4 linked regions of the Diceros bicornis minor genome follow. The protein of the gene in region 3 interacts with the protein of the main gene of each other region in a biochemical or structural test. Links are inferred from orthologs where the notes say so. Each region holds a gene or a part of one and is shown on either strand. Other genes may lie near its edges.

Region 1 (7,249 bases), on a different chromosome or scaffold from region 3:
ATATATCAAAATGTTTAGAGTGATTTGCTCTAGCTAGTGGGATAAAAATAAAAACAGCACCACGGGGCCGACCCAGTGGCGCAAGCGGTTAAGTGCGCACGCTCCACTGCGGCGGCCCGGGGTTCGCTGATTCGGACGGATCCCGGGCGCGCACTGACGCACTGCTTGGCCGTGTGGCGGCGTCCCATATAAAGTGGAGGAAGATGGGCACAGATGTTAGCCCAGGGCCAGTCTTCCTCGGCAAAAAAGAGGAGGATTGGCAGATGTTAGCACAGGGCTGATCTCCTCACTAAAAATAAAAATAACAGCCCCAGCTAATATTTATTGAGCCTTTACTGTAGGCTGTGGAAGGTGTATGCTAAATTCTTTACAGATTATCACATTTTAATCCTTAAAACAACCTTTCAAGTTATCATCCCCATTCTAGATAAGGAAATGGAAGCATAAGAGAATTAAGTAACTTGCCCAGGATCACATGCTAGTAGCAACTTTAAATCAAAGTCTGTCCCACTTCTAGGTCCACTGGGTCTTCTGTCCCCCATTTTGGAGACTATAATTTTTTCTTCTTTTTGCTTTCTCTGTGTTTTCTAATTTTTCTACAATGAATATGTATTACATGTATAATTTGTAAAAAAAAAAAAAAAAAAAAAAAAGTAGAGGGGAAGGGAGCATTCCCTGAGCTCATTGGGGATACCAGGGAATCCGAGCCCTAGGAATGAGGGCCTGGAGTAGAAAGGTACTCACCATTGATGATGGTGTTGTTGGCCCAGACGACCTGCCCATCTGGCAGCACCTTTTGGCTTTCAGGGAAGTGCAGGGCAATAGAGAAAGAGGCATTTGCCCCAACCAGTGTAGGCCCATCGTTACTGACCTTCAAGGACACCTGGCCACCTGGGAAGGGCAGCTGCATTAGCTGGGACTCCTTGGTTTCCACTCCCCATGTACCTTTTCCCTTCCTATCATCCCAAGCTACATCCAACCCAGTTCTTGCTCCTCTCCTCACCCCGTTCCCACCATACCCTCCCCAGAAATTGTCAAGTTCCCACCTCTCCAGCAGTCAGGCCTCTGAATTTCTGTCCACTCTGGATACAGCTGCCTGTTCCAGGCTTTAGTTCTGAGCTGTCTTGAGACACCAAGCCAGTCCCGGCCTCTGGGTCCTAAAAGGAAGGTACCATGAGGGCCCTAGGATCCTCACTCAGTCCCTTCTCAGGGGATAACACCGTCCCATGTGGCCCCACTCATTCTCACATTCAAATTGCATTTTAATTTACTGAATACCCACCAGGTACCAGGCACTATGCTAGGTACAAAGGACTTAAGAAATGAACAAGACATGGCCCTAATGGGATTCAAGGTAAAGTATAGGAAATAGACATATACATAAATTACTATAATTCAAGGCACTGTTTAATATGAACCATAACAGACATGCACAAAGTGCATGAAAATGACAAACTAAACAGACTAGTTCTACTCTGGCAGATTGGGAGAGATGTCAGTGAGGAGTTGGCCTGTGGGATAAGGCCCAGCATGAGCAGATGCATGGAGGCAGGGAAGCACCTGGCATGATAGGAGACTACCAGCAATGTGGTTGATGCACACTGTGAGAGATGAGGCCAAGAAGATGGGGGCTTTCAGTGCCAGGTGAAGGAGTTTGGCCTTTATCCTGTAGGCAAGGCCACCTCAGAAGATTTTGTTTGTTTGTTTTATTGAGATATAATTCACATACCATAAAATTCACCCTTCAGAAGCTTTTGAATATGATCAGATGTGTTTTAGAAAGATCACTGGCAAGCAGTGAGGAGGATGGATCAGAGGCAGGCAAAGGTTGCGGGTGGGGACAGAGCAGATAAAATTATTGTAACTGACCAAGAGAGAAGTCTGAGAAAAAAAGGGATATGATGGATCTCCATATGCCTCACCCAGATCCAATGACTGTCAACAATTTTGCCACATTTGTCTTATCTCTCTTTTGTTAATGTTGTTTGTTTGTTTTTTGGCTAAAGTATTTTTTTAAAAATCCCAGACATCTTGTTATTTTAACCCTACAAATGCAGCATGTATCTGTAGGGTTAAACAATTTTTTTTAAACATGAATATTTTCTTGAATAAGAACAATGTCAATTTATACTAGACGAAATTATCAAACTCAGTCAATATAAAATTTCATGAATATCCAAAAATGTCTTCTTATGATTTTAAAAATTGGGACCCAAAAAGTAAGCACAATCTTTTAAGAGCCTCAGGTGGACAAGTATGAACAGAATGTTTCCAGAATACATTAAGGAACATAGTAAAAGAATAAGACTTGAAACTGCAGCATGAATGAGGGAAGTCAGATCAAGGAGAACTTCCTAGAAGTCTGTGTGACTAGGGATCTAGAGATAGAAAATGGGGACTGGGGCCGGCCCCGTGGCTTGGCGGTTAAGTGCGGGCGCTCTGCTGCTGGCGGCCCGGGGTTCGGATCCCGGGCGCGCACAGACGCGCCGCTTCTCTGGCCATGCTGAGGCCGCGTCCCACATACAGCAACTGGAAGGATGTGCAACTATGACGTACAACTATCTACTGGGGCTTTGGGGGAAAAAATAAATAAAATTATTAAAACAAAAAAAAGAAAATGGGGACTGGGATATGAGGTATATATTTCAGCACAGCAGAAACTGTCCTCACTCCATTTCTAATGTGTACTGGAAACCTAGTTGATTCCACTGGGGGAGGATCTGGAAGCATGTCATTGAGCATCCCACCCTATCATAAGATGCCCTATTCTTTCTCCACTCCCAACCCTCCCTTCTCAGAGCAGCACGGGACATTCCAGACCCTCTCACCACCCCTGCCCCCATCCCTTGCTCCTGTCACGAGGCTTCAATCCCCCAAAGCCCTTTCATGTGATGCTCAGCTGAGACCCTCTGCCCGTCTCTTCCAGCCCCAGAACAAAAGCCTGGGCTGTGTTCGCCCATCTCCATCCCAAAGAGGGGCGATGGGGCCCCCTTACCCTTCTTATCCAATACCACATTCTCTTATTCCTCACTTTACCCTATCCCAAGTGTTTGAGACATTGCCTAAAAGAGTCTCCCACTCATTTCAGCCCTTTGGAGCCCCTGCTCCATCTCACTGAGCAGGGGGCCTCAGAATTAGGGCCGTGAAGATCCACTATCCTCTTTCCCTTCCAAGCAGATGGGATTATTTTCAGGTCCAGTCCCAAATCTCCGTGTGGGGAGGGAGCTCAGGTGCCCATGTCCTCACTAAATCAAATGGATGGGAGAAGACAGAAGTATTGCTGGTAACTCCTATTAGGAGGGGGAAAACCAGAGCAGATGCGCAATCTCAAATTCATACTTGTTCATCTCCACACACCCCACACTCACCTTCTGTGGCCCCCACAGCCAGAAGAGCACCCATCACAGCCATGTGGAGAAGGCATTTTCTCAGCACCAGATCCATCCTCTTCTTCCTTCCAGCAACCAAAGGTGCTGGTGGGCTGGGACAAGCCCCTGTATAAGAAAGGGGTGCTTATTTGCATAGCCCTTCCTCCTCTCCCTCCAGGGAAGGTCTGGGAGGGGCGGGAGGACCGGAGAACGGCAGAACTGACAAGGGATGCTGGTCCCTGGACATCCCACTACTCAATGACAGTTTCTGGGTCACTTTCATCTGGACACACTCCATCCTCCCGGGAAAGAACAGCTACGTAACACATACCGAACACACACAGTTCATCATGGGAGAGTGAATCAGTCTGTTGTTTGAGTCCAACAGGAACCTCTCAAAAAGACAAGAGATCCTGCATCCAAAAACAGAAAGACAGTCTCAGGGTAGGCTGAGAGGCGGAGGCAACGACTCCTCCGAGGCCCAGGAAACCCTTACAATGAGATTCCCAGCTTCCTGCTTTTCAAAGGAGGCTCCCTGGGCCGGGGGGAATTTAATCTTAGGTCGATACACATTTCCCCTAAGGGTGGCGAACCCTGCGAGTTAAAGATCAGGAAGTCCCTACAGACTGAGGGCACGGGTCGGAAACTCGAGCCCAAATCAGGTACTTGGAAAAAGGTGTTCAGCCTCGTCACCGACGCAGAAGCTTGTTCTAACGCCCCTCAGAACCAAACTTGTGCGGGAAGGTCATTTGCGGCGAGGGGCGCTGGGCTCGCCCCGCCCGCTCTGACGTTGACCAATGGGAAGGCCCGGGGGCGGAGCCAGGGAAACGCGGGAAGGAGGGGCGGGGCGTCTGGTGGCGGTAGAGAACTGGGGGGGAGGCGGCAACATTGTTTTAAGTTGGACAAATTGACAAGAGCGAGAGATACACTGCGTTCCATCCCGACCTGGGGTCGCGGTGCTGGGCCCTGTTTCCCCCTCTTTGGCCCCCCGAGAGCCGGGGCCCGCTTTCTGCAGGGTTCCCAGGCCCCCGCTCCAGGGCCGGGCTGACCCGGCTCGCTAGCGCTTCATGGAGAACTTCCAAAAAGTGGAAAAGATCGGAGAGGGCACGTACGGAGTTGTGTACAAAGCCAAAAACAAGTTGACGGGAGAAGTGGTGGCGCTTAAAAAAATCCGCCTGGACACGTGAGTGGCCTCTGTACCCGGGACTCCTAACTCCGGAGCTCCTTGAGTGTCCCTACCCCCACCCCCACCCCCACAGGCGGGTAGCCGTCCAGGGACCGGAAGGTAGCAGGGAGGGACTTCTTTTGAGGTGGAGAGGTGGACTGGAGGACAGTAGAAAGTTTCCCTGTGGAGAATATAGCGTAGTGCACAATCCATGGGGAACTTCCTCCCCAAAGCCGGGTGATACCCCCCTAAATGTGCAGTCAGAAAGACTCAGGAAGACTAAGGAGGCCCCTGAGATGGGGTCCAGGACTCCTGGTGGAGTTGGGTTTTGTAGGAACTGGTGAAAAGCACCTTTCTGAAGGAAGAGCCCTCCTCACTGTCCCAACCCCACCCTCATCTTAGAATTCTCTCCCTCTTTCAAAAGAATGACAGTTGAACCTCACTGGCCCCTCCAGGGAGGCTGGGTGCTGCTAGTCCCATTTTTTTTCTGTTACCTTCTCTCTGCTTCACCTTCACCAGGAGGCTTTACTTACCTACCCCTGGGAAAAGAAGAAATAATGACCTTAATATGTCTAAAAGCCACTCCCTGACCACCCATGAATTAACTCCTACAGCACTCTTTCTCTTCTCTCACTTTCCTAGGGGATGCTGGGGGTGGTGTCACCTTGTGGAGGGGGGGTGGGAGGTGGGAGAGGGAGTGACTGGGCTGGAGGAAAAAGAATATTTGTAACCACATTCCCATCTCTACTTTCCCAACCTCTCCAAGTGAGACGGAGGGTGTACCCAGTACTGCCATCCGGGAGATCTCTCTGCTTAAGGAGCTTAACCACCCTAATATTGTCAAGTAAGTATGTATTTGGGAGGTACTCTGATAGTAAAGGAGGATACCTTCTGTCTGTGAAGTCTGGGCATTTCTCTCCCTCACCTCCATTCCTGGACCTCTCTTCCCTAGGCTGCTGGATGTCATCCACACAGAAAACAAACTCTACCTGGTTTTTGAGTTTCTACACCAGGATCTCAAGAAATTCATGGATGCCTCTGCTCTCACGGGCATTCCTCTTCCCCTCATCAAGGTAATCCTTCTCCTCAACTCCTCCTCATCATGGGCATCTTGGAGGGGACTGAAGGCAGGCAATTCAGACTGAGTGATGATTTGTAATGTGGCTTCCTCCCCAGCCCTCATTCCCCTACAGACAAATACCTACCCCTTTCTTTTGTGGCTCTTTCACTGCTCATTATGCTTATTAACCCCAGGGCTGGGCAGGAGAATCAGAGAAGTGGAAACTCTAGTAAGTCAACTTAGCAGCTCAGGTGGAAGGTCAGATGAAACTCAGATAAATGGGACTTGAGGGCACTTGGTAGATTCCTCTAAAAAGCCCTTCCACCTGTTTGGTGGAAGAAATAGCCAGCAGCTCTCTACTGTCTGTTTTAGGCCTGTGTTCTTTACTCCTGGAGCTACTTTCAATCTGTCAACAAATGTTTATTCAATGCACATTTATTGAACACCTTCAATGTGCTAGGCACAGCATATGGAAAAGAGATGCAAAACTGAATAAGACCTGGTCCTTACCCCTCACTGGGCTGACAATCCAGTGGGAGAAATAGCTTGTAAACATGTAATTATGATCCAACATAGTAAAGGCTTTAGTAGAGCTTTGGAGGCACAGAGCAGACCCTAATCTTCTCACTGTGGTTGAAAAACACAGTCCTCTCTGTCTCCCTTGTCAGAGCTATCTGTTCCAGCTGCTCCAGGGCCTAGCTTTCTGCCATTCTCACCGGGTCCTGCACCGAGACCTCAAACCTCAGAATCTGCTTATCAATGCGGAGGGGGCCATCAAGCTAGCAGACTTCGGACTAGCCAGAGCCTTTGGAGTGCCTGTTCGTACTTATACTCATGAGGTGAGTCTCTCTCTGCATTTCTTCTCTGAACTTCCTGGGAGGTGTTAACAAAGACATTCACAAAGTTACTAAAAATACCTGGCAGCAGTTTCTCTCTCAGTAGATGGAAAGTATCTCTGACACCCCAGGAGGTCTTAGAGTATGCACATAGTTCATACCTTCATACCGTAGGGCTAACTGGCCTTTGATAGATACCAAGCCAGGAGAGCTGGATGGCACACCATTAAAATTATGACGACTTGTCTCAAGTTTTCCAGAAAGGTCACAAATCGGGGCTTCAGAAAATACGGTTCCCAGAGCCATGGGCAAGGCTAACTCTGGGCTAAGAAGTGGTGTGTAATCATTTCACTTAGGCGAAGTCAGAAGGAGGGGAAGGATGGAGGGAAGGAAGCTGCTTGTTAAGAGCCTGAGAGTTAGCAGAGTAGTGCTGAGGAACTGAGACGTGGGAATCTCCATGCCCCATACACCATCCCTCCCCTTCCCACTCTTATCCCCCAGGTGGTGACCCTGTGGTACCGAGCACCTGAAATCCTTTTGGGCTGCAAATACTACTCCACAGCTGTGGACATCTGGAGCCTGGGCTGCATCTTTGCTGAGATGGTACGAAGCCATGCCCTAGTTCCACCCAGCCCACTCCTCCCCACGTTTAAGAACAACAGAACTGTTTCTTGGCCCAGACTCATGGGCCTATTATCACAGGGTTCTTTCTCTAGAGTAGCACCACGCGGGGTGGTGGGGAAGGATAGGATTGTTGTCCCTGATGTCAACCACATGTTAGGATATCCTCAAACAGCCTTAGCATCCAGTTTACTTCTCT
Region 2 (7,493 bases), on a different chromosome or scaffold from region 3:
CATTTCAACAATATTCCATATTGAAAAGATAGTTTTTAATCATCTCTATATATCTGCATTATAGGTCAATTCTGACTCAATCAACACATTGAGTGAAATATTGGAGCAATTATCCGTGTTCTTCAACTCAAAATAACTCCATTCCCCCTAAAATTCCCAAATAATTATGGTAAATCTGTTGTGGGAGGTTTTGCTTGAATTATCTAGATAATTGCTTCAATTCTCCACTTCCTTTTGGAAATGTAGGCATGGTCTCCGGTCTAAATTTAAATATCTTTTGATAAAAATAAGGTTTTTCTCCAAAACTTTCTTTTGAGAAAACTCATGGAGGTGGATTAGAGGAAACAAAAAGGGGAAAAAAGTGAGAAGGATTGGAAGTGTCTGGGAAGGAGAAATTGAAACTATCAATAGGTTTAGCAAAACTTTAAATGGCTTCTATGCCAAGTAGTAAATACTCAAGTGGCTAAGAGAAAGCGATGATTAATATTCCAGATCCTAAATATTTATTCGGTGAATCATCAATTTACATTTCATTCAGATTCGGTGATTAAATGAGACTAATTAACTTAAAACGCATGAAAGTCTTCAATGAGAATTCGCATCCTATTGAGAAAATCTGGGGAAGTTTCCCTGCAAGCTTCTGTGGGACCACTAGCGCCAATGGGCACATCCGAAGCAAACACGTCGGAGACGCATTTTTCTTTCTTTGTGAACTCTGCCTTAACTCAAAGGTAAAACCTCCAATCACCCCCAGACCCCGCTGCAATTTCTTCTGGATGATTTTTTGGAGGTGGGGGGCAATTAGCAGAATTAGAGAGAGCCGGGTGGCGGGTGGGAAGCAGGGCGGGGGGAAGGGCAGAGACTTCCTGGGAGGTGTAAAACAGGATCGGAACGCGGTATAAAGAAAGTGTCGCTGGGGCAGAGCGGGAAAACGCAGGGGCCTCTAGATTGGCTTGTTTCCTTTGATGATTTCAAAAAGGTACAACCCTCTCCGTTTTTCTAAAACGCACCGGCAAGCAAACATTGTCCGATTTCCCCACCTTGCTCTCGGGCGGCTTTGGGACTCTACGATTATTTCCTAGTCGGCCTCTTTGCCATGAAGGAAGCGCTTTAAGGCTAAGGAATGAAGAAGTTTTAAAGCCCGCGGAAGCGGAGTTTAAATGTTCTCAATAGACACGTCCCGCTCCAGCCCTGCCCGCCGAGGCTTGGAAACCGCGGCGAACAAAACCCCTGCCCTGGGCGCTGCGCACAGCTCTGCAAGCGCCGGCTGCACGCTTAATTGGTTGCATCCGCAGACAAAACCCTCCACTCCGCGGGGTCCCGGGCGCCCCTCGATCGTCCCCTCCCAACCCCCAGCCACTCGCCCTGGAGAAGCACATTGAATGTCTGCAGTTCCAAGGCGCGGGATCCTGGGGCAAAAAGAGTACGGGGCAGCTGGTGAGGAAGTGACCCTAGCTACCGTGCACCCTCTCGGACACTACTTTCCACCGCGCTCTTGGCCAAACGAGTTAATCCCGTCCCGTGGGGACCCCAGGTCTCCTGCAGCCCCTTCCCCGGGACACCTCGGCGGCGGCGGCGGCCCGCAGACTGGCCGCCGCGCCGCATTTAAAGAGCTCTAAGAGGACCAGGCGGGCCCACGAGCTCTTTGTCGGGAGGGCGCGAGTCTCGGGCCACCGAGAACTTGGGGAGGGAGCCAAGGGGGCGGCTGCGGCGCGCCAGTCCGCGGCCAGCGAGCAGCTCGGGTAGGCGGGAGAAAGAGCCTCCGGCCCCCAGGACTCAGCCCCTCCAACCCTGAACCGCCCGAGCACCGCTGCCCCCGGCACCTCCTTCCCCCGGGGCAATTGCAGCAGCAGCTCGGAAAGCGCCGGGCCGCCTGCAGTCGCCGGGAGACCGCGCGCCACTGCGGGCCGTGCACAATAGCGAAAGTCCGAGGACGCGCTGCGCCCGACCCCACCTCCCGCCTCCGCCCCGCCGCGCGCCGCGGCTCCCCACCTCCCGGCCGCAGCGGCGCGGGCGCCCCGGGGCTCCGCCGCGCACTCGCGCCGGGGACGCCGGGCCCCCCCCCCCACTCCGGCCGGCAGGAGGCGGGCGGGCGGCGCGCGGCGGCCGCGGCGACTGGGCTCCCGCGCTCGGGTGGCCACGCGTGGCCGGGCCTGCGCGGAGGGCGCGGAGGTGGGCGGCTGCCCCCACCCCGCCCGCGTACTGACTTGCTGCTGCTTCCTGGGTCGGCCGCGTCCTCTCTTCTGAGGCGCCGGGGCGGCAGGTTGTCCCTGGGCTGAAGTGGACGGCTGCCCGGCGCCCTCACCGCGTGCGCTCATCCTGCCTCCCGCCGCCGCCGCCGCCGCTACCGCTGCCGCCGCCGCCGCTACCGCCGCTGCAGCCGCTTGGCCTCGGCCGCCCCGAATCCGCCCGGTACCTCTCGGGAGACGGGGTGATAGGGCTGGAGACCGAGGCAGGGGGAGCGAGAGCGGGCGTGCTGCGAGGGCTGCTGCTGCTTAGGCTGCCGCCGCTGCCACCATCAACACCGGACGTCCAGCGGCTGCCAAAAGAGAGCAGAGGGAGGAGGAGGAGGAGAGAAGGAGGCGCTGCTGGTGGCGGCGGCGGCGGTGGGTGGGTGCCGGAGGTGGAGGTGGCAGTGGAGGTGGAGGTAGCGAGAGGAGCAGGAAAGCGAAGGCGAAGAAAAAGAGGGTCGGACGCTGGAGAGGCTCCCCCTCGGTTTGGGATCAGGAGTTGCGGTCACCGGGAGCACTTCGGAAGAGGCTTGGAAAGGGAAGAGACTTGGAGTGAATTGTGTCCCTTGAAATGTTAGGCGGGGAAAGAATTCCTCCTCCTCTTCCCCCCCTCTCCGCGCTCGCAGAGCAAGAAAGAGAAAGAGAGAGAAAGCAAATAGCGCCTTGGGCCGTCGGGAAGCAGAGGCAGGATGGGGAGAGCCGGCCGGGATCGGGTCGGGCACTGAGCGCGGGCGAGGGACGGAGCAGTGGGTGGCACCGCGCCTCTTCGAGTGGCGGGAGCGGGCGGCAGCGGCACCGGAGAGCCGGAGGGGGACGGGCTGCTCGCTCCTGCGTCCTGCACCAAGCGCGCGCTGCCGGGGCTGGAAGTTTTCTGAGTTCCTGCCCCAGGATTCAAGCGGGATGAGTGTGTGTGTGTGTGTGTGTGTGTGTGTGTGTGTGCGCGCGCGCTTGGGGAGGGGGCGCCGGGGGGGGGAGTGCCCACCTCTAATCGTGGGCGGATAAAGGGGAGGGGGCTGCGCAGGAGGAAAAGTATGAGGAGGAGGGAGGCCAGGCGGATCGCCGAGCCAAGGCGCCTGGCCGCGGGCCAGAGGCAGCGTTCGAAATACAACTGCCTTGGCGGCGGCGGCGCCCGGGTGCCACCCGGAGCCCCGCTCACGTGCTCCCGCCCGGCGGCGGGGTTAAAGGGACAGGCCGGGGATCCCGGCCCGGCTCGCCGCCGGCCTCGCCCCGCCCGCCGCCCGAGGTCGCCCCTGGGCGGTTGTCCTAGGAAGGCACGGGAATGTGACTGTCTCAGAGCCGCGTTTCGGGGCTTGGCCCTTACCTGCACCTCCGCGATGCGGAGCCAACACTCTGCAGGAAGCGTCTAGCTGCACGCGCGGCGGAGTTCTAGCTCCCTGTGAGTGGGAAGGAACGGAAGAGGAGTAGGAGCCGGCCGCCGGCAGCCCTGCTCTGCCTCGGAATGCCCTCATCACAGATCGCACGACCCGGCCCGCGCACTTGCACGCGGACACACACGCACGCACGTGCACGCAGATACACGTGCACACTCGCACAGGCACATGCATGCATAAACACACACTTAAACCAACACGCGCTCACTTACATGCACATTCGCAGACATAGGCACACGTGCAAACAATGCACACACATGCACACGGGGCGCGCCAGCTTCTCCATTGAGCATTTTCCTCCGGGAAAGACTAGAGGCGACGCGAAGCCTCCCCCCCCGCCCCCGGCTGGCGCTATGCACCCGCTTTCCAACGCTCACAGGGTAAAGCGGTTGCCCCACGCGGGGACCTGGTAGCTGCCTAACACCGCAACTGCGCCAACTGTCCAACTCGCCCTTCAGTTTACCTCGATTTAACCTTCTCGCTAGAAACTCCCTTTCTGCCAAGTCCTAATTTTATAGCTTGGGCTGTTTCTGAGTTATGGGAACACCATCATGACCACAGGCCGTTTTAAAAAGGTGGAGTACATTTTAAAATGTACCTCTTTTCATCCTTGAATAACAAAAAAACTGAAAAAATTAGGTTCAGATTTTCACACATCACACCCAAAATTATTTTGGACTAATTCCAGAATAAAAACTTTCACTCGAAGAAGAATTTTTTTTTTTTCCCGAAAATACAGACCACCGTGGAATAAAAACGCCTCCTTTACAGCCCTAAGCAGCCCTGCTGGTGGAGGAGGCGCGCGTAAATGTCTGCTCCGGGGCGGCGGCGCTGATTGGTCCGCGTTGCCATTTTAAATCCATTGCCAGCTGCCTTTTGCCGAGCTGGGACACTTCGCTGCACATTGAGTGCCCTGCGGAAACCCAGGGTTTCTCCCGGGTCTGGGAACGCTTAGCTGTGATGGAGAGGGAGAGCCCCCAACCCTCCGGATGGAGCCCAGCAGCTGACTGGGGAGGGAGGGGTCTAACAGGAACCAAAGATTTTCTGCCAGGGCTTGGCTGAAAGATGGTATCTTCATCAAAGGGATTGAAATTTCCCGTGCTAAAGTTTGCTGTGACATTTCCTAACTGCCAAGTGTGCACATTTTTTAATGTGATCACATTCGCACTGGGCTGTGCACATTTCACACACGCATGCAAAACGGGCTTCTTGATTGTTGTTTGCTTGCTTTTTACAAGGGTTAGAGATAATTCTGAGGATGAATGTAAGAGAAATCACCTAGCCTTTCAGCCAGCCGGTTTTATAGGATACATGCGTAATATCCTCAGATGTATTTTTCGTGTGCATAGAGGCCGGCAAGGAGGGAATTCCAAAATTTTATTTTTGCATTAGTCGTTGACTTTAAGAAAAGCACAGCAAAATGAGGGGTGGGAGAATGTCCTGCCACTTGTTTTCAGGCCCCTGCCTCTTTGCTATCAGACTATTTGACCCCTTTTGAATTTATAACAGAAGGATATGAAACAAATATTGCATCAAGTTTTGTCTAAAACAATTTTATATATTTTCATTTCTGGAAGCTACATTTAATTTTTTTCAGGTTATATTTTCTGTATATTTTTAGAGGAGGCCTTAAAATCTACCTTCATGCTTGAAATTACTTGAAACTTTTAAAAAGGGTGTCATCTATTTTTATTAAGTTCAATGGTTATGTTTTAAAGAGTGGATATTTTTCACATTTACATTTGAGGGTTTTTGTCTCCCTGTTTAAGTTGCTCAGTTGTTCACTTTCTCTTCTTTATCTTACCATATTTTACCCATCCACTCAAGGCTAAACTCTTATTTCTAATTTGAAAACTTTCCAGGTGGTTTTTGTCCATATGAAACTATTTCTTTTCTTCTTCTGCACCTACTTTCAAACTGAACAATTAGCATCTTGGTTGTATACGTAAACAAGGTTTCTAATCGTCTGTGATACATGATGTCGTGTTTGGATCAGGTCAGCTCATTAATGGCTGGTAAAATTAATTCAGTGGACCCATAACATCATTTAAAAAAAAAATAGAATACAGTAGATAATATAACATGTAAAAGTTCTGTTTTAGTTATATAGCACACGTGTAAAAATTATATACAAATGCTTTTTTTCCATCTTTTCATATATTTGGAAATTGGGGTGTATCTTAGAGTGTCTTAGCACTGTGTTAGCACATACTAGACAGTATCTTCTCTGCTTTAGCCTGTTTAGTATCATAGTATATATGATACTAATGTGTTTAATAATCGACGCCACCGTAGATCGGTGAACTATCTGTATGTAAGGTCTATTTCTGACTGTGGGTTGCAGTGTAACCTGTTTCAATGCCACTGACTTAGTTATGAGACCTGGGTTCCCTTCCCACTCCACTGAACCAGGTCTGCAGTGCTTGGTGAGTCGTTTCTCCTCTCTGTGTCTCAGGGTCCTCATTTCTAAAAAGATCAGCATAATCTCTGAGCATTCTTCCACTTCTAATAGACTTACACGTATAATATCTTGTTCTCTAATTGTGCCTGTTTATATGTAAATTGTATGTAGATTCCATGGAGACAGGTAGTATTTCTAACGCCTCTTTTTTGCACCAGTTGTGTGTAGGTAGTGTTCAGTTCATAATAGACTTTTGGTACTTACTAATTTCTGGCTATGACAAAGTAACTCTTAACAAGTTACTACTTTACAAGTGTACCCAGGATGAGAAAAGCATTACATATATTAAAATAGCTTCAACATTCTTTTGACTGAAGGAAGATGCCTGTGTGATGAAGAAATTGAGGTTCTCACGTTGCACTTTATCACATTATATTTATACTTTAATATATTCATAAATTAAAGAATAATTTAAGGATTTTCTCAGATTATAACCGATTGAATTAATCAGGGATGTATTTTATATGTATTAAGCAGGGATTTATTATAACCAGATATTTTGGAAGTGAATCTATATAGGGTCACAGAAAAAAAATACAACTAATATTTATTGAACAGAACGCATAGCATATATACATACACAGACACACATATATGCATTGTACATAGAAGCTCACTATAGTACAAGGTAAACACATATTTCTGAAAAACATTTCCAGTGTTTTAACATGAACTCATTTGCACTGCTCAAACTCAGTTTTAGATATTGGGTCTTTTAAAATATGCTAAGTATTTAATGAAATGTAGAAAAGAGAATCTCTAAGAGTTTCCCTACAGTATCACCAGGGAAGAATATGTGCTGCCAAGTTAACATTGTAGTGGTGGGGGAGGGTATTGTGGACAGGACGGAGAACACCAAACAAAATGAATTCATCTACTCATTCATTCAACAAACATATATTGAGTTGGTTTTGCAGTAATCTCACCAATTATTCTCTCAGGACTTAGGAATGTAATTCATTCAGAACTGGAGAGAATCTCTTTTGAAACAGCTACGTGCTCATTTAAAATCTATGTACCTATTATGTTAAGCCTTTCATTTACCATTACAAATATTTATTCTCCTTTATCCAATCCATAGTTCATTCAACAAATATTTATTGAGTACCTAATATGTGCTGGGATTCACAGAACATTCTTTTTGACAAAAGCCATGGAAGCAGAACAGAAGTAGAACAATTTCATTTCCATCTCTCATCTATGACACTGTACTGTAGCCCTGAGGTACACTATCCCACAGCTGTGGATAGCAGGAGGAACATGGGCTTTTAAATCAGATTTGGGATGGGAGGTGTGGTAGGCGGAAGGATAAAATGACCCCTATGATTTCTTGGCCCCCGGTGTAGTTGCCTTGCATAATCCCTGAGACTGTAATATGGTGACTTTTACTCCCATGATTAGGTTATCTTA
Region 3 (7,197 bases):
CAGCCCCTAAACTGACCTGTGAACAGAAAAATAGTACTTCAACTTTTAAGTTGCCACTATTTTACAATTCCCCCCCAAAATGAGTTTTTTAAAAAACAAAACTATAAACTTTTCATTATTACCACTGATGGAAAACTAATTTGAGCACAATGTTGTCTTCAACTTTTATGTGACCCTGCCCATCAATTTCTCATATTCAGTAAATCTGAACAAATGCATAAAAATGCATTTGATGACACAGTTGTATATGTCACCACCTATCCACAGTATGGATCACCTAACATTTATTGACCACCTACTACAAGTTGAGCAGTCTAGACACTAACAGAGGCTAGTCTCTGTGGGAGGGCACAAAAGATTTATCACTACCCTAAAGGGCTTTATAGTGGAACTGAGGCATCAAAGTATACAAATATGGAAAGCTGAACCAACAGTGTGACTGGACTTTACATAATTACCAAATGAGTGGTGAAAATGCCAGGTTTTCTATCAGAGGTATATAATCAGGTATATACAACACTCAGTTATAAAAAATACTTAAGTATTAAGCCACACGAGGAGGAACTAAGAGACTGAAATGGACAAAGGTTAAGTAGTTTATTTTGAAAAGTTTAAGTACCGTTCTTAAAGATAACTGGTGCTCATTTTCATCATTATCCACCTTAAAGTGATAATCTTTGTCAGCCTTTAGTTCACAACCTGTAAATGAAGAAAAAAGCAACTATAACAGAGAAAAAAATAACAATGAAACTTCAGTGTGGGTAACTAAAAAAGTATTTGTGAACTAGTTTTTCACTATTCTGGCTACCAGAAGGCAAGGCAGAAGTATCTCTTTCTGGATCTCTTGAACACAAACATGTATAAACATCATATAACATCCACACAGGGCTTAGGGCTTCATAAATTCCACTTTCCCATTATACTATTTGATTCTCAACTACACTATTACCATTCTCAGATAGAAATAAGCTCAAAGATTTAGTAAATCTGTAACTGAAACAAGTATCTGAAACCAAATTGTACGATGTTGGTAAAATCCCACTGTTTAAAAAAGCTGAAATTACCTAACTCAACTCCCAAGAAAAGCAGCAAATTTAGAAATGAGAATGGTTACACAAATGCCTACATGAACAGTTTGTATTTACAACAGAAAAACTACAAATGTAAAAGAACTAAAACTTGTTAAGGGGCCAGCATTCCATCTTTCAAGTAACTGAAATGATGTACATTAAATCACATTCAAAAATTATGTTTAAAGCAAGAATAGATATACCCTAAAGATATTTCCAATAGAAACGTTAACACAAAAATATTTGGGTGTAAATTGATCAGAAACCTCAGCTCTTCAAGATGGCTAGAATAAAAGCCTTAATGTATAGTGCATGTTACCTACTCCCACTCCACAAGTAAGAAAATTGTTTTAAATACCATCAGAATGAAACTTTAAATGATTCCATTTAATTGCCATCTAACAGTTACTGGTGCATATGTTTAAATGTTATCGCTCAATTAACAAATCTCAGCATGGTATATAAAGAAACAAAATAAATTTGAGGCAGGATTTGCGCTTACTTCCAAGCCTGACTGACACAAAGAAATGGCTTCAACAACCAAATTCACTGCGACTGAAAGCCAAACCAGGCCTCTCCTTAGTATGTCACTGTGTGCTGAGGAGGGGGAGAGATCTCAAAACCTTGGTATAGAATTACAAGTACAGTACAGTATCAGGTCTTATCGACCTAACTGAACTCTCGGCACATTTCTCATCTTTAAAAAAAAAAAAAACAAAACTGTTTGCTCGATGCCACACAGAAAACTGTCTCCATGGGCCTCTCTCCAAAAAAACAAAAAACCAATCCTTTATAACGCACCAGCTCTGGAGACAAGGGTCTTGGTTTAGATCTAGTCTCTATTTACCTACAAGTGCAACATTCTTTAAATCACTTTAGTTCTCTGAGCATCAGTATCGTCATCTGCAAAGTGGCTACTCCATCCATCGCGGTAAAACAGAAAAATGGCTCTAGAAATGAGAACTACCATCATAGTACGCAAATGTTAAGCAATGAACAAAGACCTCCAGAATCCTGGCGCTACCAGCCACTTCACCTAACATTTCCCGCCCAACAGCCTCAACTAAAACCCAGGACCCCAGGCTCGGGGGTGACAGGACATCAGTGAGCCCCGGATGCAGCGCCCACACCCCCACCTTGCCCCAACCACGTGGCAACCACGTGCTCCCAGCGGTTGCGGCCTCCTCACGCCCGGCCGGGCCTCCCCTCCCCCGGTAACCAGCCGACGCACCCGGGCCGAGTGTCGGCCCTAGAGCTCCTGACCCTGAGGCCTCAAGGCCGGAGGACAACGCCAGGCTGGAAGTATCCTCTCCTCCGGAAAGGAGGCCCATGCTCACATGACGAGCCCACACAACCTCCTGCACCAAGCCGAGGCCCAGCACCGAAGACACCGGCGCGGAATCGGAAGCCTGCGAACTCACACACCCCTAAAAAGAAATCACGCTCCGGGCTCGACTGTGCGCCCTAGGCAACGCCGAACCCTCAGCCTGTCGGCTCCACCTTCCCCAAGGCCCTGGGCCTCGGACCGCTCACGCCCCAGGCTTCAGGCCGCCCCTCCTTCCCACCCTTGGCGCGCCGGCTCTCCTGTCCTGGCTCCCCATCCCTCAGGCTGCAGAGCCCCGGCAGCCCGCTTCCCCCACCTCTCAGGCGGCAGGGCCCCGGCAGCTCGCGCCCCACTCCCCAGGCCTCCAGCCTGCCTGCCTTTCTCCACCGGCCCAGGCCTCAGAATTCCCGCCCCCCCCCCCCACCTCAAAGCCACTAGGCCTGCTCGGCCTCGCTCCAGCCCCCCCAGCACTTACCGAAAAGATAGTTCTGGGGCCTCAGGGGGCTCATGTCCATGTCCATCGAATCTTCCATGGGGTGGTGGCACGCACTTCGGTGGGAGAGAAGGCGGACGGAGACAAACGACCACTGTTGCACAGAACAGCCGCGCAGGACGGAATCACACCAGGGAAAGGACGCGGGCTCCCTGCGCACATATATAGCATCTTGAAGCTCTCGCGAGAGCTGACCAAGTCCCGTCTCTGCGCGCGTGCTCGGGAGCCCCCCTCCCCGGACCGTCGCCTTCCCGCGCAAGCGCTCTTCAACATTACTCCCTTCTACCTCGCCCCCCACCTCCTCCAGGTACTTCGCGGGCTCCCACCGAGCACGCGCACTCGTACCCCGGCCCCACCCCTCCGCCGCCGCCGCCGCCCGTGCGCACGCGTGCTTTCCCCTGGTAGCGCGCGCTCCCCCGCCTCCAAGCCTTCCACGTCCTCTCCAGCCCAGGCGCGCGGGCGTCGCGCCAAGAGCCTGCGCAGCCCACCCTGCAAAATGGCGACGGCAAGTTTTAGCTGTGTTAGGTGTGGGGGGCTAGCCAGTTAGAAGTGACCCAGAAAGCAGCTCGCTTCACCTTTCTCCATCCCTTCGTGCCTCGCAGACCTCCAAACAGGCATAACCACTTCAGGATTTTTGACTTGCCTAAAGGCCCGGGCTCAGAGTTGTATCCCCCAAGTTAAAAGCTTCAGGTGCCAGAGACAAGAGTGGACTACGAATTATTCTTTGTTGGCGAGAAAAGATGCAGCTGCTGGCCGCACTTACCCAACTCTGTTTTTACAGCTCTGTACTTTCTGAGGAAACATCTCCGAAGTTGAAATCTCTCATCTTTATGTCATTTTGGGGCCAAAAGAGAACTGAGTCAGCCTCTTCCATAGAAGCCCCGCAAGAACCAGGGCTGGGTGATTTCTCCCTAAAGACAAGGGCTGTGTATCGGAGCAAGCCTGTGGCATAGCGGTTAAGTGTGTGCGCTCCGCTGCTGGCGGCCCCAGTCCGGAACCCCAGGCGCCCACGGATGCACCGCTTGTCAGGCCATGCTGTGGCGTCTTCCCACATAAAGTGGAGGAAGATGGGCACGGATGTTAGAGCAGGGCCAGTCTTCCTCAGCAAAAAAGAGGAAGATTGGCATGGATGTTAGCACAGGGCTGATTTTCCTCACACAAAAAAGAGGGCTGTGTACCTGCAATAAGTCCCCACATCAGGTCCCGTGAGGCCGGTGTGACTATCCCCACTTTGCAGACAAGGAAACGGGTGAGAGAGGTGAAGTAAGGTACCCAAATGGGTGATGAGATGGTTCTCGAGCTCTGAGTCCCGTGCTAACATCCTTCTAAAAGAGCTGGGAGGGTTATGTAGGGACCAGTCTCTGAGACAGCGCACTACTCAATCTTGAACATTCCTAAGAATGTTCTGAGCTGTAAAGAAAGCGTCTAACTTGTAAGAAATGCAACCTTAATTAGACTCTTGGGGAGTGAGCCTGGAAATTAGCATTCTAAACCAGCTACACCTTGACAAACTGAGGACCTCCGCAGCTCCAGGGCACTGTGAGTTTTGAGGATCCCCTCTAACAATCTTTTATGTCAACAGATCAGACAATAAGAAGTACTGTGAAGAGTAAAAATAGTGCCAGTGATGCCCCTACCACTTTTTCCCCAAAGACAATCCAGTTGGGAAGATAAACTACAGAACACATGAACCAATTATTAGTTAACAAAATCAAAATCCTAAATTTGGAGAAATCAGTGTGACCAGTATGTGAATGAGGCCAAGCTGTTCCCCACCTTTTTCCTCACCCCTAAGTGAAGAAGAGCCTTCACCAACATGGTTCTTGGATCTTTTGAGTTGGAGAAGATGAACAATTGCTAGAGAAAAAACTGAGACTTGGAAGGATATTTATGTAATGGAATGAGAAAGGCTGATAAAAGGGAGGAGAGGACTGTGGCTGAGAAGAATCTGGGGATTTAGAATGGGAAAGTCTCAAGAGGAGCTACAGGACAGTGTAGGAGAAGGGGTTAATGTTCTTTGAGCCCATGCAAGTAAAAGTTGGAACTACTTTGTAATTTCTTTCTGGATTCTCGACCATGATTATTCAAATTTAGCTCTGTACAGATCCTGAACCATATGGGAGCTATAGCTCATGTTTTATAAATACATTTGTTGTTTTAATATTTCAGGCACCTAGTCTAGATATGATATCATGGAATCAAGCAGTTAAAAAAATCACTTATTGCATTTTTCAGATTTACAAATGTAATGAATGCTCACTATCTTTTTAATAAATTAAAGTTATTTAGGTCTATACACGTGAAAAAGTAAAATGCCTCTCTTTCCATATCTCTGTTTCTATTCCCTAGGAGTAATCACTGTTAATAGTTGTGTGATTATCCTTCCAGACTATATATATAGGGAGAGAGAGATTACATAGTTGGGGTTTTTTTCTTTTGTATTTTTTTTAAATGTGTGTGATTCATATATTTTTCACCTTTTTTGCATATTCAAAAATATATTTTGGACATTTGTCCAAACTAGTACATAATATGGAAATGTTATGATTTAATATCCATTCCTCCATAGATAGACGCTAAAATTGTTTTCATAGTTTTGCTATAAGAAATAATGCTTTAGTAAATGTTATGGACTGAATGTTTGTGTCCCCCCAAAATTCATACGTTGAAGCCCTAATCTTCAATGTGACTATATTTGGAGTTAGAGCCTGTGAGGGAGTGATAAAGGTTAAATGGTTAAATGAGGTCATAGGATCAGCCCTAATCTGATAGGACTTGTGTCCTCCTTATAAGAGGAAGAGACACAAGAGCTCGCTCTCTTTCCTCTATGTGAGGCCACAGTGAGAAGGCAGCTGTCTGCAAGCCAGAAGAAAGCACTTACTGGGAATTGGATTAGCTGGCACCTTCATCCTGGATTTCCAGGCCTCCAAAAGTGTAAGACAAATTTCTGTTGTTTAAGCTACCCAGTCTGCAGTATTTTTTTATGGCAACCCAAGCAGACTAATACAGTATCTTTGTACATATATCCTTATGGATGTCTTAAAGTAGTTTTGTAATATGTATTTCTAAGAAATGGACTTGTACAGTAAAAGGGCAGGTATTTACTTACAAATATATGTACATAAAAATGCAACTTTTTGTTGTTTACATAAATAGGCTCATCCTTTATATATTGTTGTCTTAGTCCATTAGGCTGCTATAACAAAATACCACAGACTGGTAGCTCATAAACAACAAATTTATTTCTCACAGTTCTGGAGGCTGGAAGTCCAAGATCAGGGCGCCCGTGTGGTCAGGTGAGGACTCTCTTCCAGGTGGTAGACTTCTCCCTGTATCCTCAGGTGGTGGAGGGGGCTAGGGATCTCTGTGGGGTCTCTTTTATAAGAGCACTAATCCCATTCATGAGGACTCCACCTTCGTGAACTAATCACCTCCCAAAGACCCCACCTCCTAATACCATCACCATTGGGGGTTAGGATTTCAACATATGAATCTGGGGGGAATACCTTCAGGCCATAGCAATTTTCTGCAACTTCGCTTCTTCATTTCATGTGGCTTAGTTACCTTTCCATGATATTATATATGGAAGCTCACTGCATTCTTTTTAGGAGTTGCATTATATTGCATAAGATGAACATATATACTATTTCCAGGTTTTATTTATTTCTTCATTTGTTAACACATTCTGTGATGGAAATCTTCAAACACGCACAGAAATAGAATATTATGATGAACACCAATATACCCATCACCCAGCTTCAACAATTATCAACATATAGCTAATCTTGTTTCATATATACCTTCCCACCATCCTTCCCACTCCCCCTCTGCTGGATCATTTAAAGAAAATCCTAGATATGTATATTTTCATCTATAAATACTTAGTATGTATCTTTAAAAGATAACAATTTTTAAAGCCTAAACATAATACCATTATAATACAAATCAAAGTTTTAAATAAGTCCTAATATTATGAATTATCCAGTTCAAATTTCCCCAAATGTCTCTTGTAGTTGGTTTGTGTGAATATCCAAACAAGGTCTACACATTATACACTGAGACATGTTGTCATTTAACATGTTTCCTTATCCCTTGTGTTTTCTATGAGTTAGTAGATCAACAGCTGCTCTGTCAAATGTGGTTGCCACTAACTATATTTGGCTACTTAAATTTAAATTAATTAAAATTAAAATTTGAGGGCCGGCCCCGTGGCTTAGTGGTTAAGTGCGCGCGCTCCGCTGCTGGCGGCCCGGGTTCGGATCCCAGGCACGCACCGATGCACCGCTTCTCTGGCCATGCTGAGGCCGCAT
Region 4 (7,805 bases), on a different chromosome or scaffold from region 3:
ATTAAGAAATGATGCAATTATTCCATACCATTTTATTGTAGGTATTGTGTTTCAAAAAATTTATAGCATAAATAACCTTTCATGTCATAAAATAACTTAGTGCAATTTATAATAAAACTTTGAGAATTTAACATCTCATCAAAATACAATAAAATATGGTTTTAAAATATGATTAACCCTTTCTGCTTTTCTTTTACTTGAGGGCATACAAACCAAAAATACCCAAACTACTGCTGCACATTTGAACTTGAACAAAGCGTATTTGGTTTATTTAACTGTAACTCAACCATCCTAAATTAATACATAGTTTGTTTTCCTTCCTGCGTGGTTGTCTCTTTTGTTCCTTGTGACTTGTATTGCTGTTTCAACACAGCTTCCTTCTCCATTTTCACCTCTTTCCATCTGCAAAGTCATCTACCTCCGGGCCCCCAGAACGTGTAGTTGAACTCGCTCAGCCCCTTGACATCAGTTCCTGTAATCCTTGCATCAGTGTGGGGAGTAACTGCTTGAGTAACTACAAAGGTATTTCAAAACTTCAGTGCAATTTGGTTCAGTTATTTTCATTCAGATGCCATCACCGCTCAGGGAGATTAATCACTGGGACCCACTGATCCATGTAGCGACTTTCCCGGCAAAAACAAATAAGTTGACTTAAGGCGGGATCCTTCCATTGGGATGAATGTGGATTCTGGGAACAAATTTCGAAAAATAAATTGACTATTAAAAAAAAATCAGCATTTGCTAATAATTACACTACTTTTGAGCAGAAGACACTTCAACATTCTATATTTTGCATGACATGAAGACCAGTTACAGCCATAAAAAATAACATTTCTTCCAGGTAGTCAGGTTTCCTGCAAAATCATTAAAGGTAATTCTCCCCTAACCTATACTCTACAAAGTCTGAAGCACGCAACCCACTGAGCCATCTACATATGTTTGCATGATACTATTTATTCAGTTTTGCATGAGGGTATCATTCACAGGTTCCTGCTAACAAACTTGTACTATGGCAGAGACCTGAGTAAAATGACTTTGAGAAACATTTCCCTGCCGTTCATACAATGAGACAGAGCTGCACAGCAGTCACCACCCAGTCACCACCTGTTATCCTCCCAAAAGGTGGAGTCATATTCTTCAGGAGTAGCAAAATAATTAGGCTGCCACTTAGCTAGACCAGCCAAAAAACAGTAAAATGTAAAAACAAAAGATGATGTAAAATCTCATTTACCTCTGAAAACACAAGTTATTTACCCACCCAAGGTTTTTAATTAGGAAAAAAGCTCCATTAAAAAAATGCAAGATTGCAAAGGAAAAATTTCCACTCTATCCTCTTAATGTATTTCTAGGGAATTAATAAGGTCTGTCTCCTACACCGTTTCTATTTTTAGCTTTGACTGGCAGAGAATGAAGCTGACTCCTTAATGAGGGTGAGCCAGGAATTTATGTGGCTTTATCTAATCCGCCCTGCTAAAGGAATTAGTCACGGGAGGTAGTGCAGATGTAGGTAGGGAGTAGTTGGGCTGACTCTGCTGACTCACAAGGATCTCTTCCGCGGCTGGCAGCCTCCAACGTGCTCAGACATGTTCCGTACGGGAGAAAATCCCGATGATGAAACTAGCACATCTCGGCTGAAAGTCCAGCCGCTCTCTTTAATGGGGCAAAGGCGGCCCCGCTCGTGACCCCCACCCCTGCCCGACCCGCAGTCAGGCGACTCTCGCCCCGGCCCACTTCCTCCCAGGCCTCGCACGCGGCGGCGCGCGCCCTGGCCCTCACCGTCACCAGCACGCAGTGCAGGTCCGGGGGCTGCGCGGCGCCCTCGCCGGCCGCGGGCCCCGCGTCGGGCTCCAGGAGCAGGAGCTCGGCCAGCCGGCCCGGGTTGCTGACGCGCAGAATGTTGATGTCGTTCTCGCAGCAGAAGGCCTGGATCAGGGTGAAGTGGATCTGCAGGGCCACGTCCCTGTCGTCGTCCTCGTCCGCCGCCAGCAGGCACAGCACCACGTTATCCGGGTCGCTGCGGGCAGGGGCGGTGCGGGTGAGCGCCGAGGCGCGACCCCCGCGCGCGCCCGCACCGCCCGGGTCCCGGGGGTCGCGCCCGGCCCGCTCGCTCGCCGGGGCAGGCAGCCGCCGCGCGGATGGACAGCGGCGTGCAGGCGAGGGGCGCCCCGCGAGGGCGCCTCCCGGGCTGGGGCGCGCAGGGGGCCACGGGGGACACGCGAGGGCCCCACTTACACGTTGAGCAGCTTGGCCGCCTCGTACACCCCGACCGTGATGGTGCGCTGACTCAGGGCTTTGCTGAGCACTTCCTCGAGGGCATCCCCCACCTTATCCATCCTACACGCCGGCAAGAGCAAGGGGTCCCGTCAGCCCGGGTGCCCTCGGGCCGTCGCCGCCCCTCGACCCGCACCGCGACCTTCCCCCCGAGCGCGTGCCCCCGCGCACCTCAGCTTTCTGCAAACCCGGGCGCCCCGGTCCGGCACCCCCACGACCCCTCGCACGCCCAGAGGCCGGGGTCCGGGGAGAAGCCCCGAGAGTGTCACCCGCCACCCTCCCCGAGGGCACTGCCAGTCCCGGGCTGGGCGCAGGCACAGGCTGCCCGCCGCAGCAGCTGCACCGCAGGGACGGTCGCTTGTGCCCTCTGCAAAGCCCCGAGGGGTCGGCCGGGTTGGGGGGCACGCTCCTTCCGTCCGCGGGCGCCCCTGGGAGGGTCCCCGAGTGAGAAAGGCGGGAGGGAGGTGCGCTCCGCAAACTTTTCACCGCTCGCCCCACGCAAACCTCCCGGAGCCCGGCGGCACTCCCCCGAGGCCCCCCGAGGTCCCCCCGGGGCCAGTCGGCCCACTCACCTTTCGGTCTTCTGCTCGCCAGCCGCGAATTCCTCCAGAGTCATATTGCAACTGCAGGTTCCCCCCAGAGAGAGCGCGGCGTGCGGGCTGCTCCTGCCACCGAGCGCGCGCGGGCGCCGGCTGTCTGCACTCCGGCCCCGGCCGCTCCAGCGCCCCGCCGCCGCGCCGTCAGCCCTCCCGCCCGCCCCCGGCCACTCGCCCCGCCGCGAGCCGCGACTGCCACCCGGCTGCTGCCTCACAGCCACTGGAGGACAAAGGCGCCGCTCGCCGGAGTTATCCTGCCAACCCCCGGCCAACCAACGCCCGCCTCATTTGCATACGCGCAGACATTGGGCTATGCAAATCAGCATGTTCCGACAATTTGACCCGAGCTCCCGGACCGCGGCTGAGAGGAGCGGAAGGGGGAGGAGCCACGCGGAAGGCGAGCCAGGGGCGGGGGCGGGGCGGGGGCGGGGTCCCGAGCGGACTCTTATTCCGTGGGCGGGGCCCAAAGGAGAGGCGGTCTTTGCACGGGGGGAGGGAAAGCGGGTTGTCTTCAGCTTGGGCTGGAACAGGCTGCCAAGTGTTTTTCTCAGTTGGTGCACATTTTTTTTATTGTCGTTTCATGTCTTTTGTTTTTAGGGGTTGCTATTAAAATCTGTTTTCGGGGTTAATGCACCCAAGTCCAGTAATTATTAGTAAGCAGTTTACATAAAAAGAGTGTGTCCAGACCTCCGGAGCAAAGTTACCTCAGAAGTGTTGTTTGTGTAAGTCCAGGCAAAGCTGCTTATTAGTAGTAGTATTATTTCGGTGCCCTGATGGCTGGTTTGATTTATTTTTGGAAGGTTGCAAGGGTTGGAAGCTCAAAAAAGAAAAATCAACACATTTGTCTTGGGTGGTGGCAGGGAACCAAGTTGGAATCCTTTCCGCAGAAAGCAGAAGGGCTTCCCACCTGCCCAGGGTAACTCGGGGAAACCATGTTCACCGGGAGCTGGTTACCACACGTGTGTATCCTGGCCTTCAACCCAAGCTCACCTTTCTCAGAGAGCCTTCCCCAAAGGAGGATCCTTCTGAACCGGCACCAGCTAAGAGACAAATGTCTGACACCCACATAAGCCACGAGTCTAAATTCAGAATGCTCTCAATATGCCCTAAGCTTCCTTTCATGAGGCAAGTATGTCACTGCCCTCCCCAGAGAGCCTGTGATCTCACAGTGAATTATTGATGGCCAGTGCTGAATCATGAAGCAGCAGCCATAGGACCTTTTAGTCATATGCTAAAATTTCACCTTTGAGATAATGGCGACCTGTGGGTGGAAAGCAAGCAGTAGTTACACATTTTTGAAAAGCAAACTTTAATGTGTAGACTTTCGCCGAATACGTTGCAAGTTCTTCCCTTTGTTTTATGAGTTTATACAATAAGTGCAAAAACATGTCTTAAACCTACTCAAGTCACCAGAAGAGGTGAAAATTCCCCCCATATGCTTCCATTCAAAACAACGCTTGCATTATTAAGGTCACTGTATAGTTAAAGGTCACAGAAGTCATTTTTTGCAAAGGTACATGGGAGTTTTTGCACCCGTATGTTTGTATCATTCTAGACAAAATATTCTCCAGCTCTCTTGATCTTAATTTAGTGGAAAAGAAAAGTGAGAGTTCAGTTTTCTGGCTCATTTACTTGAGCTGCCTTTTTGCACTTAATCCCTAACTGCCTTGTCAGCAAGGGACAATGTTTTGGAATGGTGGTGGCCAATGCATAATTTACCCAAGGGTGCTTGTGTATTTCATTTCTATACCTTAAATCGTAATGTGTAGTGTCTTTGTTAAAGAATTCCTTAAAATTGAAATTCAGGTGGGTTCTGAAGTTTTTCGAACAAACCCTGAATTATACACTCTGGCCTGAGTCATCATTTGGAGACTATTGAACCGTGTTCCATGGAACTCCAAGGTTCTATCCACTAGGCGTTTCTTAGAGGTTCTTTGGAAGAAAGTGTGATCACAGCAAACTGAAAAAGAATTAGGGATGCATGTGAGTTTCTTGACAGCAGGGACTGTGACTTCATCACCGTGGTGTTCTTGGCACCCAGCCCAACTTCTGCATTTAGGAGAAGTACAGTCAATGTTTATTGAGTTGAACAAGATCTCAGAATCCTGCAGTCCTGTGCATTGCATGAATTCTCTCTAAGATATTCCACATTTATCTTTAGTTCGAAAAAACTTCTTTGATCTACTATGTACCAAGAACTGTACAATTCCTGGTCCTTTGCCTTTAAAGAGCTTACCATTTAATTGGTATGTCCATGCTTGGACTGGATTTTGGGACAAAATAGCATGCACTGTCATCAGCTAGCTATGCTGGAAGTCCCATGACTTTAGTCATCTGAACGGAAACTGTAGGACAGTAGAACCCGTGTATTGTTTATGCCAATTCAAATGAACCACAGCCCTAATAATACCTCACCCAAGACAATGCTGTGCAGTAAAAATGTGGTATAAAAGAGCTATTTCTTAATACAGGCCTAGACCCTCACTCAGAAGCTACCCTGCGTGCTGTCTGTGGCTTCATGGGAAAGTGGTTTGTTCCAGTGTTGTCGGTTGCTCTCTGAGATAAGCCTAGCCTTCCAGTATTCAAAAATATTCATTTGTCATATTTTCTGACTCAGATATGTTACATCATTTTGCCTCATTGCTGAGTCTACCTAGAATGTTTCATCAGTGATGATCTTCGAAGCTGGTCCTCATGGCTGCAAGTAGAAGCTGCATTTAGCTCCAGTTAGATTGCAGTTATATATTAGGATGGTCATAGATGATATATTTCATAAATGCTCCTCAGGCCAGTGGGAAGTTGGTATCCAATGATAAACCAGAGGAATTTCCCTAGATTAGTATAGAACACACACACATATATGTATTTTTAAAAATAACTCCAATATGTGAAATCATTTTTTTTTTAATTTTTTCCCCCCAAAGCCCCAGTAGATAGTTGTGCGTCATAGTTGCACATCCTTCTAGTTGCTGTATGTGGGACACAGCCTCAGCATTGCCGGAGAAGCGGTGTGTCTGTTCGCGCCTGGGATCTGAACCCGGGCCTCCAGCAGCGGAGCGCACACACTTAACCGCTAAGCCACGGGGGTGGCCCTGTGAAATCATTTTTAAAACCACCCCAGGTGGCTCCAAGTAGTTCAGCTGCACAGGACTAGAATGACCTTGTAGTAATATTTGTAAGGATGCCAAATGGTTATATTTGGAAATCAGATGGAAATATGTCCTCAAAAATTGTTGAATTATTTTAGCCATCTACTTACTTTGCATATTAAGAGTCTTTTTGATATTTTCTTCGCTTTTAGTATGCATATGTTCCTACTACTTGTTCTATAGTATAGAATGATAACTTTTCTTTTTTTCAAAAATTAGTCAATCCTTTAACATCTGAAAGAAATATGATGCTTATTATTTTGGTATTAGATCATTGTTCACATTAAAGGAGATCAATTAGACTATAACAGATGTATCTACTACCTAGAACTCTGTATTCTATTTTATTGTTAAAAATTATAAGGTTCCTTATGTATTTTTTGCATAAGTCTGGTGAAGTTAGTTTCTAAAGGCAGGCTCTGAATTTCCCTCATTTCTTCCCCAGAGAAGACCATTCAGACAAGATTTACTGTCACCTAAAAATTTGTCATTTCTTAGGATCAATACTTGCATTTGAATTTAACATAAATGTTTAGTTTCTTGGACCATCACTGTGGTAGGCAAATTGTAAGATGGGCTCAATGATCTCTAACCTCTGATGTTAAGCTCTGTATAACCCTCTTCCCTCGAGTGTGGGCGGAACCCATCCCTTGTTTCTAACGAGTAGAATATGGCAATGATGTTGGGCTATCACACCCACAATTATATTACATTCTATGGCAAAGGTGAAAGGATTTTGCAGATGTAATTACGGTCCCTAATCAGTTGAGTTTGAGTTAAACAAAAGGGAGATTATGCTAGGTGGGCCTGATCTAATCAGGTGAGCCCTTTAGAAGAGGGCCTAGGCCTTCTCTGAAGAGATATTGGAAGCATCAGAGACTCTCTTTCTTCATTGCTGGCTTTGAAGAAGTGAACTTCCATATTCTACAGCTGCAAGGAAATGAATTTTGCCAACAACCTGAGGGAGCTTAGAAATAGATCTTTTCCTAGTCAAGCCTTTAGATGAGAATGTAGCCTGGGAAACACTGATTTTAGCCTTCTGAGCCCCTGACAAGAGAACCTAGCTAAGCCATGCCTGGACTTCTGACCTGCAGAAACTGTGAGATAATAAATGAGTGTTAATTTAAACCACTGTTTGTGGTAATTTGTTTCATAGCATCAAAACCTAGTACAATCCTCTTAATGCCATCTTGTCATGTGTTCAATAAATCTTTACCCGATGAAAATTATCTTCAGCTATGAATATTCATGGAAGTCGAGTCATGGGGTTGCTTTGAGCTTTAGGCTAACCACCTTGTATTCCCACCAGGTGTTCACATTTCACCAGCCATGCAGGGCCAGCCAGGCAAGGTGTCAAATAAAGAGACATTTTTCAAGGACCCCTCACCCCATTTCCCCACCTTCCCACTGAGTTAAGGCTTCCATTGTAGTAGGGATGTTCTCTCTGTGAATGTCTCTGTTTGGTGGGCTAATCACTGGTGAAGAAGGTAGGTGGTCTGAGTTGGTAATTGGCCATTGGTAGTTTGTTCTGGTACCTTGAACAGGTTTATGAATTTTCTATCTCTGAAATAGAAGAGCTGATTCTTTTCACCCATCTACTTCATTGCAGTGTTTTCTTCCTCAACTCTTAACAGCTCAGTCCTTGGACTTCTTCTTTCTCTATCTAAACTCACTCTCTTGGTGACCTCATCCAGTCTCATGGCCTAAATACTTATATGCTGATGACTCTCGAATATACTTCCAATCTGGTCAGTCACCTCTTCTGAACCTCAGGCTTACTCATCATCTC

Evidence for each region.
Region 1: of the proteins of NPM1 (region 3) and CDK2, one has a biochemical effect on the other in vitro, tested with the Homo sapiens proteins (2 studies listed by BioGRID). The link is inferred for Diceros bicornis minor from reciprocal best matches to the Homo sapiens genes NPM1 and CDK2.
Region 2: the proteins of NPM1 (region 3) and HMGA2 interact in far-western blotting, tested with the Homo sapiens proteins (2 studies listed by BioGRID). The link is inferred for Diceros bicornis minor from reciprocal best matches to the Homo sapiens genes NPM1 and HMGA2.
Region 4: the proteins of NPM1 (region 3) and GADD45A form a complex in vitro, tested with the Homo sapiens proteins (2 studies listed by BioGRID). The link is inferred for Diceros bicornis minor from reciprocal best matches to the Homo sapiens genes NPM1 and GADD45A.

The regions. Positions count from the first base shown.
Region 1 is NC_080756.1:12,774,670-12,781,918, reverse strand, and holds the start of CDK2 (cyclin-dependent kinase 2), read left to right. Parts: upstream 1-4,245; 5' UTR 4,246-4,435; coding exon 4,436-4,551; intron 4,552-5,299; coding exon 5,300-5,377; intron 5,378-5,485; coding exon 5,486-5,606; intron 5,607-6,261; coding exon 6,262-6,432; intron 6,433-6,930; coding exon 6,931-7,032; intron 7,033-7,249. Other genes in the region: melanocyte protein PMEL, read right to left, coding at 745-891, 1,047-1,157, 3,369-3,444. UniProt on the Homo sapiens protein: Serine/threonine-protein kinase involved in the control of the cell cycle; essential for meiosis, but dispensable for mitosis. Phosphorylates CABLES1, CTNNB1, CDK2AP2, ERCC6, NBN, USP37, p53/TP53, NPM1, CDK7, RB1, BRCA2, MYC, NPAT, EZH2.
Region 2 is NC_080756.1:4,950,639-4,958,131, forward strand, and holds the start of HMGA2 (high mobility group protein HMGI-C), read right to left. Parts: upstream 3,018-7,493; 5' UTR 2,319-3,017; coding exon 2,208-2,318; intron 1-2,207.
Region 3 is NC_080740.1:85,422,424-85,429,620, reverse strand, and holds the start of NPM1 (nucleophosmin), read right to left. Parts: upstream 3,016-7,197; 5' UTR 2,928-3,015; coding exon 2,870-2,927; intron 700-2,869; coding exon 620-699; intron 17-619; coding exon 1-16. UniProt on the Homo sapiens protein: Involved in diverse cellular processes such as ribosome biogenesis, centrosome duplication, protein chaperoning, histone assembly, cell proliferation, and regulation of tumor suppressors p53/TP53 and ARF.
Region 4 is NC_080743.1:6,451,093-6,458,897, reverse strand, and holds GADD45A (growth arrest and DNA damage-inducible protein GADD45 alpha), read right to left. Parts: upstream 3,011-7,805; 5' UTR 2,888-3,010; coding exon 2,844-2,887; intron 2,335-2,843; coding exon 2,233-2,334; intron 2,015-2,232; coding exon 1,777-2,014; intron 689-1,776; coding exon 575-688; 3' UTR 8-574; downstream 1-7. UniProt on the Homo sapiens protein: In T-cells, functions as a regulator of p38 MAPKs by inhibiting p88 phosphorylation and activity.